3 linked regions of the Sus scrofa genome follow. The protein of the gene in region 1 interacts with the protein of each later gene in a pairwise test. Links are inferred from orthologs where the notes say so. Each region holds a gene or a part of one and is shown in the gene's direction. Other genes may lie near its edges.

The links.
Region 2: the proteins of CTNNAL1 (region 1) and DMD interact in binary tests that used the Homo sapiens proteins (3 or more experiments, as listed by UniProt). The two-hybrid records come from large-scale screens. The link is inferred for Sus scrofa from reciprocal best matches to the Homo sapiens genes CTNNAL1 and DMD.
Region 3: the proteins of CTNNAL1 (region 1) and RNF135 interact in binary tests that used the Homo sapiens proteins (3 or more experiments, as listed by UniProt). The two-hybrid records come from large-scale screens. The link is inferred for Sus scrofa from reciprocal best matches to the Homo sapiens genes CTNNAL1 and RNF135.

What each region holds. Positions count from the first base shown.
Region 1 is NC_010443.5:250,029,949-250,033,448, reverse strand, and holds part of CTNNAL1 (alpha-catulin), read left to right. Parts: intron 1-145; coding exon 146-304; intron 305-3,500. UniProt on the Homo sapiens protein: May modulate the Rho pathway signaling by providing a scaffold for the Lbc Rho guanine nucleotide exchange factor (ARHGEF1).
Region 2 is NC_010461.5:27,124,228-27,127,727, reverse strand, and holds part of DMD (dystrophin), read left to right. Parts: intron 1-754; coding exon 755-956; intron 957-3,140; coding exon 3,141-3,226; intron 3,227-3,500. UniProt on the Homo sapiens protein: Anchors the extracellular matrix to the cytoskeleton via F-actin. Ligand for dystroglycan.
Region 3 is NC_010454.4:42,793,255-42,796,096, reverse strand, and holds the end of RNF135 (E3 ubiquitin-protein ligase RNF135), read left to right. Parts: intron 1-144; coding exon 145-674; 3' UTR 675-2,342; downstream 2,343-2,842.

The sequences.
Region 1 (3,500 bases):
GGAACTTGACACTTCCCTCTCAACAGGTCAAGCGGGACTGCTTTGAGGTTGCTACTCTTTTTTAAAGTACTCGTGAAGTTTTTGGTCACAAAACCTTATTGTTTGTTGTCTGTCTTTCATTACCCTTCACCCCCCACATCTGCAGCTTCATAGTACAGCAGCTCAGCTGGCAGCAGATCTGTTAAAATACCATGCTGATCATGTGGTTCTAAAAGCATTAAAACTTACTGGAGTAGAAGGAAATTTAGAAGGTTTGGCCGAATATGCCTGCAAACTCTCTGAACAGAAAGAGCGGCTTGTTGAGGTGAGTAATAAGTTGCTAGTTAAAAGAAACTGTAGTTTAATGAAAGCTGTACTGTCATCAGGGAGTATTAGCATGCATACAATTTTTGGTTAACTCATAGGAGCATTTTCTCTGGTGCCTTTGGAATTTTAAAAATAGCATGTTTCTCTGTTCTGTTCTTAGAACTATCTGGCCTCTAAAGCAAAATATTAAAAAATGCTAGAACCCACAAATGAACTTCTTAATCTTCTTCCTTATTCTGTCAGAGAGATTAGATCTTGGAGTCAAGCAATGGCGGTTCATCTTATGACCCTGTTTGTATTTGAGTCTTTTGAGTATCAGTGCAAAAGAGATGGCACATTCAAATTAGGTGTTTTTTTTGTTTTTTGTCTTTTTGCCTTTTCTAGGGCCACTCCTGCGGCATATGGAGGTTCCCAGGCTAGGGGTCAAATCAGAGCTGTAGCCACTGGCCTACATGAGAGCCACAGCAATGTGGGATCTGAGCCACGTCTGCGACCCACACCACAGCTCATGGCAACGCCGGATCCTTAACTCACTGAGCAAGGCCAGGGATCGAACCCGAACCTCATGGTTCCTAGTCGGATTCGTTAACCACTGCGCCACGACGGGAACTCCATCAAATTAGGTTAATTTAAAAAGAGATTGAGGAGTTCCCGTCGTGGCGCAGTGGTTAACGAATCCGACTAGGAACCATGAGGTTGCGGGTTCGGTCCCTGCCCTTGCTCAGTGGGTTAACGATCCGGCGTTGCCGTGAGCTGTGGTGTAGGTTGCAGACGCGGCTCGGATCCCACGTTGCTGTGGCTCTGGCGTAGGCCGGTGGCTACAGCTCCGACTGGACCCCTAGCCTGGGAACCTCCATATGCCGTGGGAGCGGCCCAAGAAGTAGCAACAACAACAACAACAAAAGACAAAAAGACAAAAAAAAAAAAAAAAAAAAAAAGAGAGATTGAGTTCCCATTGTGGCTCAGCAATAACAAATCCATGAGGACGTGGGTTTGATCCCTGGCCCTACTCAGTGGGTTAAGTATCCGGCATTGCCATGAGCTGTGGTGTTGGTCACAGGTGTAGATCTGGTGTTGCTGTGGCTGTGGTGTAGGCTGGCAGCTGCGGCTCCAATTTGACCCCTAGCCTGGGAACTTTATAATGCTGCAGGTGCATCCCTAAAAAACACAGAGTTTAACAAAAAGAGCTGTTTACAGTTGCATGGAAGGGTGTGAGGGGAACTATGAGAGTTCACAAATTGGGGTTCGTGATAGCAGAGCGGGTGCCACTCCTACACACAAATTAATGGGGGGAGGCAGGTGGGGTAAGTGGTTTCTGGAAACTGGAAGGACATAGAGTCCTTCAGAGAGCCACTTTGAGAGACTGTAATTTTAGGACTAGATACCTGCAGGGGAAGAACATGAGAATAAAGGCCCTTCCCCTCCTCATTCCTGCTGGTCTATTGCCAGGGCTTCACATTGGCCAAACCCAGCTGTAGACCTCATAGGTCAGTCTCCCAGGGCAAAAGCAGATTTGAGAAGGAAGAAGTAGTGGATATGGAGGGACAAAGAGAAAACAGTCAACACAGTTTTCCTTCTCTGAATCTCTCCTCTTCTGCCCAAATATCTGTTATGTGTTACTGGTGCTTTTCTTGCCCCTTTTGTTATAATTCCAAGTATTGATTGATCCTAAACCTTTTATGTGTTGAGAATGTCAGACAGCTACTAAGGATATGTGTACTTAATGCATGTACATATGAGGAAGACATATATTTTCCCCTTGTATATATGAGGTATGTCCTAGCCAACATGCATGTAAAGGCACAGACACGAACCATCTAGCTGTCTCTATCTTGCCTCAGGTACCCTGCTCACTGAATTTGAGGCTAATGGTTAGAACAAACCTTTATTTTATTTATTTATTTATTTGTCTTTTTGTCTTTTGAGGGCCACACCCACGGCGTATGGAGATTCCCAGGCTAGGGGTTGAATCGGAGCTGTAGCCCGCCAGCCTACACCAGAGCCACAGCAATTCAGGATCCGAGCCGCATCTGCGACCTACACCACAGCTCATGGCAACGCCAGATCCTTAACCCCTGAGCGAGGCCAGGGACCGAACCTGCAATCTCATGGTTCCTAGTTGGATTCGTTAACCACTGCGCCACCACGGGAACTCCCCTTTATTTTTATTTATTTATTTTTGTCTTTTGTCTTTTTAGGGCCGCATCCGCAGCATATGGAGGTTCCCAGGCTAGGGGTCTAATGGGAACTGTTGCCGCCGGCCTATGCCAGAGCCACAGCAACACCAGATCCAAGCTGCGTCTGCGAACTACACCACAACTCATGGCAACGCCAGATCCTTAACCCACTGAGGGAGGCCAGGGATCGAACCCGCAACCTCATGGTTCCTGGTGGGATTTGTTTCTGCTGTGCCACGATGGGAAATCCAGAAGGAACCTTTAGACTAACCAGCTTCTTTTCCTTTATTTGTTTATGTCTCAAAACTACTAGGAAGCATTCTCTCTCTCTCTCTCTCTTTTTTTTTTTTGTTTTTCAGAAATGCCCAGGCCATGGATTGAACCTGAGCCACAGCAGTGACAACACCAGATCCTTAACCTGCTGAGCCACCAGGGAACCTCTACCAGGGAGCATTCTTAAAATCACTGTACATACATGTCCTTCTAAAAACAGATCTGATGTTGGTTTGTTTATAAATCAAATATGACCATAGGCAATCTTGCTAATTAATTGTAGGAATCCTGCAGCAAATCTTTTTAAAAGGTGAAAACTTTTTTCTAATTATCTGTTTTAAGCCTCAAGATTTTCAGTAATTTTCCCTGCTATAGGCTCTTTACTCATTACATCAGTTTTGCCTAATCCAGTGTTATTGCCTGGATAGGTTGATTGTGGGGAGCAGTGTTATTTGTCGGCAGAAAGAATGTATGGTTTGTGGTAACTGACATAATTTAGCTGAGAGACCTTGGGTACGTCCTCCTCTGAGCCAAGTTTCTTCATACATGAAATATGTGGCTGCTGCAAGGTCCTTTCAGGATTCCTCCTGCTTCTCATATTCTCTGACCACCTTGCCATGATCAGATAGGAAGTAGAAACAATACAGGGTTTGTCAACCATTATTTGTTCCTGCTTTATTCCTAGAGAATCTGTTGGTAACCAATATAGTATTATAATAATCTTTCCATGAATATACACATCTA
Region 2 (3,500 bases), on another chromosome or scaffold:
GCAGTTATTTTAGTTTGCCTATAGAAAATTGTAATGAGGGTGATTATTTTTTTCACCTAGTATGAACATAGCAGAGATTAGGAGGTGACTGATATTTCAAGGAGAAAAACGCTTAATGATTATAAATGCATATCTGGAAATAGAGTTTATACAACCATAACCATACAGATTAATCAAACTGACCTTCTGTGATACTAATACAAGAAAGTATTCTCAGGGACTTCGAAAATCTCTAGTAAAACATTTTTTTTCCCTGATTTGGGTGAAAATGACTTTGTTCCCATAGAGCACTATCGGGCCCCCTGAACTCTCAGGTATTTCCTAATACTTCAGGAGTGGGAGCTGTCTCTTTACCTACATCTTCATCCAATGCCAGTGAGACTTAAGAAAAACCTCAGAGCTTCAATACCCATCAAACCCATCAAACTTAAAGCTGAGGGATGCAAACAAAATGCTTTAATAAGAGAGGGTGCAGGGAGTTCATTGTAGCACAGTGGGTTAAGGATCCAGTGTTGTCACTGCAGTGACTCGGGTTGCTGCTGTGACACAGGTTCAATCCCTGGCCTAGGAACTTCCACATGTCGCAGGTATGGCCAAAAATAAATAAAAATAAGATAAAATAAAAAGAGGGTATGGTTCAGGTTTGGTGTCTACTAAAGGGACAAGACAACACTACTAAGATTGTCAAAAAGAGAAACAGCAAAGAAAGGATTTTCCCCTTTGAATCACTTGTGATTTTGTGTGACTTTTGCAGTGGATCTCTTGAGCCTGTCAGCTGCATGCGATGCCTTGGACCAGCACAACCTCAAGCAGAATGACCAGCCCATGGACATCCTGCAGATCATTAATTGTTTGACCACTGTTTATGATCGCCTGGAGCAAGAGCACAACAATCTGGTCAACGTCCCCCTCTGCGTGGATATGTGTCTCAACTGGCTGCTGAATGTTTATGACACGTACGTATGGCAGGCTTTTTCCAGACTCTGTCATGGGAGGCTTGGTTTACAGAATGGTGACAGTGTAATTACCATCACAACAGGGCTCCAGTCTAGAAATATGGTCCTTGGAATGAAAGTTTCATGAAGCCCTCTGACCTTATGTTGTCCCCGTGATTAATCATTTTTGCCTTTAATGGAACTGAAAAATATGTTGAGAAGTGGGGAGGGTAAGAACAATAAGGTAGGTTGTTCTCAGATCATCAAGCAGACAAAACCCCAAAGTTACTCATTTTTCCAGTAGTAGCATGAGACAGTGTGTAGCCCTTGGTTCTCTGCCTTCCTTGCCTGTGTACTTTGAACTTCATCCTCTTCAGGGATGGCTCCCTCTCACCAGCCGGAAGGGGTGAGCTCCTGGAGATGCTGGCACACCTGTCACCAGCTCTGAACAGTGTTTGCTGATATTCATAGGTTTTTGCAGAAGGCTGCATTGATAAGCAAAAAGGAAAAGAAAAGAAAATAAGCCCTTGATGTAGCAAACTCAGCTCCTCAAACTGAGGAAGTTTTGTCTTTTTTTTTTTTTTTTTTAAATAAGGGTTTATGAAGTTGCAATTTGGCCCTCCATTTATCTCTCTCTTAGAACTTGCTTATTTCTTTTGGATTACACTTAGGCGAGCTCCCCAGTTTCATCTTGAGCTTAATGAAGATAATTGAGGAAGGCAGCAGAAGGAATTGGTCTTAATTTTGACTGAATTCTTCTCAGACCTCAAAATTATTATATGCCCGATTTCCCATGTCAATAAGAACATTTTCCACATTTGGAAATCTGCAAAGGTTTTCTGAAAGGAGTTGCATAGCAACTGTTTTGCTTTTGCCTTTGTTGTAGATTTCTACCATCTCCTGGCTTAAAATGTATACCTTTTTTTCTTTGTTACTTTGATAAGGCATTGCTTTCTAAATTCCAAATCACCTGGCTATTGAATTCTGATCATTATCTACCAAGCTCTTGAACATGTTGGATTTTAATTACGGATTATACTTACACTTGCTTTGATAAGGGTTTCTATTCAGGTCTTCCCTCAAATGTATTTTGGCACCATTTTCTTTCCAGATGTTGTGTAAATGGATTCTGGTAACTTCCTCTCTCTATGCCTGAAAATTTTGAGGGGACAATTTTAACTCCTTGAAGACCTGAGTTTTTACATAAAGTTTGTTAAACTTTGCTTTGCCTTTTTAAAAAGGGAAAAAGATAAAATCTTCAATGATAGTGCTTTTGTTAATGTGTTAGGACCCACGATTTCCATTTTTTACTAATAGATTTAGTAAATTGTACCAGTTGAAAGGTGAACATATTTTTCACCAAAAATAACCACCATTGGGACTTGTCCTTTGCCATTCTCCAGACTATTTTTTTAACCAGCAAATATGGTTCAGTATTTTTCACAACAAAATCAAAGCTGAAAACTATCAAAAGGCATTTTCTAGAAAATGAAAAACTTCATTTTAATTTTCCCATGGATAAAATGAACTTATTAATAAATACCTTCTGGAATGCTTTATATGTAACATGAAAGTACATCTGTATTAAAACATTGCTGTAGCAATAGGTTATTTTTAATTTGCTGTTTAAGATCATCTAGCTGAATGCTCTCTAATAAACTGCATCATATTTTTCTTATAGACATAAATATTCCCATTTTATATTACATGTCATGTGGCCTGAAGTGATTAATTTTCTTCTCAATAAAGGGCAATCTGATGAAAATCTAAATGAGTGTTGAAGAGGGCAGAGCAGTTAGGCAGTTAGTTAATTTTTTTTTTTTTTTTGGCTTCAGTAACCAAAGTAGGTAATTTGCTTATTAGTACATAGTAGTAAATCTTCCACTTATTAACTTAGCCCAGGTGGCTCTCCCTAGATAAATAGAGGCTATTTTTTTCTTCTTTTATGTAGAGAAACTCTTACCATTCAAGAAGGGGTTTTTAAGAATTGAAAACTTGCTAAGTGTTCATTGGTTGAGTTGGTCAAATTTCCATCGCATTCTAGGTTATCAGCCAGATAGATAATGAACTCAGAAATGTTCTTAACGATCTTAAACAATGGTCAATAGAGTTCCCATATCCAAGGGTTTTTTTCTTAACTGAGAAGTTTTTTATCATTTAGTAAAGTGTCAGTAATTGTTTTTCTGCTTTGATTATTCATAATAGGGGACGAACGGGGAGGATTCGGGTCCTGTCTTTTAAAACTGGCATCGTTTCTCTGTGTAAAGCACACTTGGAAGACAAGTACAGATGTAAGTCATGTGTATTAAGTCTGTATTCTTTTATTAATGGTGGCTAATTACCCCTGTTCTAGATGGGGAATGACATAGTGTTCTTATTTGGCAGCAGGTTCCTCATGTAAGGTGTAGAACTACTTTTAGACTGTCATAAAATTTGGTTTGTGCCATTCCCTGTCAGACGTTAAATTGTAGGTATTTAAATAGAGAATGAGGATTAACTTCTCCAGTGCAAGTGTTATTTTACATTGCATTGACTATGTCTAAACAAAACACATGTTCCTTGGGG
Region 3 (2,842 bases), on another chromosome or scaffold:
TGCACGTTGATATACCAGGGTTTATGTTAGTGTGAGTAAAACTTTATCACACTCGAAGATACAAAGCTGCTTTTTGCTATTTGAGGATCTCTTCGCATGAACCATCAGAGCTGGCTGGTCACATTCTTGTTTCTTTTCCCTCAGGGGCCATCAGTCCAACCTTTGACCTAGGGAGCCTCTCCTGTAGCCTGGAGGTGTCCGAGGATCACCGGACGGTGACCGTATCTCACTACCCACAGTCCTATCCCTGGAGTCCCGAGAGGTTTGCCTCCTGCCAGGTTTTGGGTTCCCAGGGCTTCTCTTCTGGGCAGCGGTACTGGGAAGTGGACACCCAGCGTTGTAGCCACTGGGCAGTTGGGGTGGCTTCCCGGGGGATGAGGCGTGACCAGATCCTGGGAAGGACCAGCGACTCCTGGTGCGTGGAGTGGAACGGGGCTAGCCAGCTCTCTGCGTGGCACGTAGTCAAGCAAACTGTCCTTGGCTCAGACAGACCTGGTGTGGTAGGCATCTGGCTGGACTTCGAGAAGGAAAAGCTCGCCTTCTATTCCGTGGCTGATCAAGAGAAGCTTCTGTACGAGTATCCAGTCTCTGCCTCCTTTGCTCTGTACCCTGCCTTCTGGCTGTATGGCTTATATCCTGGAAACTCTCTGACTGTAAGGCAGGTAAACCTATAAACGTTCCTTGGGTGTGAAAACATGTTGGTTTCCCAGTCTCTCTGGCTTCAGGCAGGCCGGCAACTTGGCTTAAGAATCCCACTTCAGGGAATTCCTGTTGTGGCTTAGCAGTTTAAGAACCCAATTAGTATCCATGAGGATGCAGGTTCCATCTCTGGCGTCGCTCAGTGGGTTAGGGATCCGGTGTTGCTGCAAGTGGCGGCATAGGTCACAGATACAGCTTGGATCTGGTGCTGCTGTGGCTGTGGTGTAGGCCTGCAGTTGCACTTCCAGCTCGACCCCCTAGCCTGGGAACTTCCATATGCCGCAGGTGTGGCCCTGGGAAAAAAAAAAAAGATTCCCATTTCAGATGTTAAGGAATTCGAAGTAAGTGCTTAACTCAGCAGGCTTAGGTTGTTCAGATCCGCACATTCCAAAGAAAGGAGAGTCTTGACTGGGAGATAACTTCAAAGCCCTTGGAGGAGTTCCTGTCGTGGCACAGTGGTTAACGAATCTGACTAGGAACCATGAGGTTGCCAGTTTGATCCCTGGCCTTGCTCAGTGGGTTAAGGATCTGGCATTGCCGTGAGCTGTGGTGTAGGTTGCAGATGCGGCTCGGATCCCACGTTGCTGTGGCTGGTGGCTGCAGCTCCAATTAGAATGCAAAAAGACAAAAACCAAAACCAAAACCAAAAAAAAAAAAACAAAGCCCTTGTAATATCCTGCCTGATAAGGTGTCTTTCTTTACCTGAGGGTCTTGGGCCAGGCAGTATCAGCTTGACCTCTGGAGGGACTGGAAACTAAGGTCATGATGTGGGTGGTGGGTCTGCCTATGTGACCGACCCCCCAGTCAAAGCCATGGACACAAGTCTTGGCTGGGCCTCCCGGCTGGCAATATTCTGTCTGTGTTGTCACACATTGTGTTGGGAGAATTAAGCCTTATTCTCCTGACTCCACTGGGAGAGGAAATTAGGGGTCTCCTGGCCCCTGCCCTATGTGCCTTTTTCTATTCCTGTTTTGTTGTTGTTTTGTCTTTTTAGGGCCATACCCTCGGCATATGGAAGTTCCCAGGCTAGGGGTCGAATCAGAGCTATAGATGCTGGCCTACGCCACAGCCACAGCCATAGCCACATCAGATCTGAGCCTCGTCTGTGACCTACACCACAGCTCATGGCCACACCGGATCCTTAACCTTCTTTTTTTTAAATTTTTTTTATTTTTTTGTCTTTTTTTTTTGCTATTTGTTGGGCTGCTCCCGAGGCATGGAGGTTCCCAGGCTAGGGGTCTAATCGGAGCTGTAGCCACCGGCCTACGCCAGAGCCACAGCAACTCGGGATCCGAGCCACGTCTGTGACCTACACCACAGCTCATGGCAACGCCGGATCGTTAACCCACTGAGCAAGGGCAGGGACTGAACCCACAACCTCATGGTTCCTAGTCAGATTCGTTAACCACTGCGCCACGACGGGAACTCCGGATCCTTAACCTTCTGAGTGAAGCCGGGGATTGAACGTGCATCCTCATGGATGCTAGTCAGATTCATTTCTGCTGAGCCACGATGGGAACGCCCGTCCTGGCTTTTATAGTAATGGCTTCCTTGCATCTTTTGTTTTAGCACCTAAATATGTGTTCCTAGCTGCAAGCATTTAGTCTTGCCCATTAAAAAAACCTGATACATCTTTTTCGTAATAGCTTTGTTGAGATTTGATTTACATACTGTAAAATTCACTTCAAGTGTACACATCAGTTTTTTCATATATTGACAGAGTTGTGAAACCATCACCACTGTCTAATTTTAGAACATTTTCATCACCCCCAGAAAGACCCCTGATACCCATTAGCAGTTGATATGTCTTTGAAGTCTTCTGATCCGAAGCTTTCCCCTCCCTTTCTTCTTCCGATTCATCTGTAGGCTCCCAGGCTGCCTCCACACTGGTGGGAGAAGTGGAAATTCAGTTCCGTTGGACTGGGCCGGGCAGAAAGTCTGGCCACACAAACCAGCGAGGCAGCCTTTGATCGTGCATGTCACCTCTTTGCCCCTTTTCCATGTAAAAGGGCAGTGACTATTCTTTGCCCTTCCTGATCTTCCCCCAAGGGTTGCCGAGAGAATTAAATAAATAGATGAGGCCATTGGAAGAATGCCAGGGTGATTATAACCACAGCAACCACGAGGGAATATATTTTCCTAT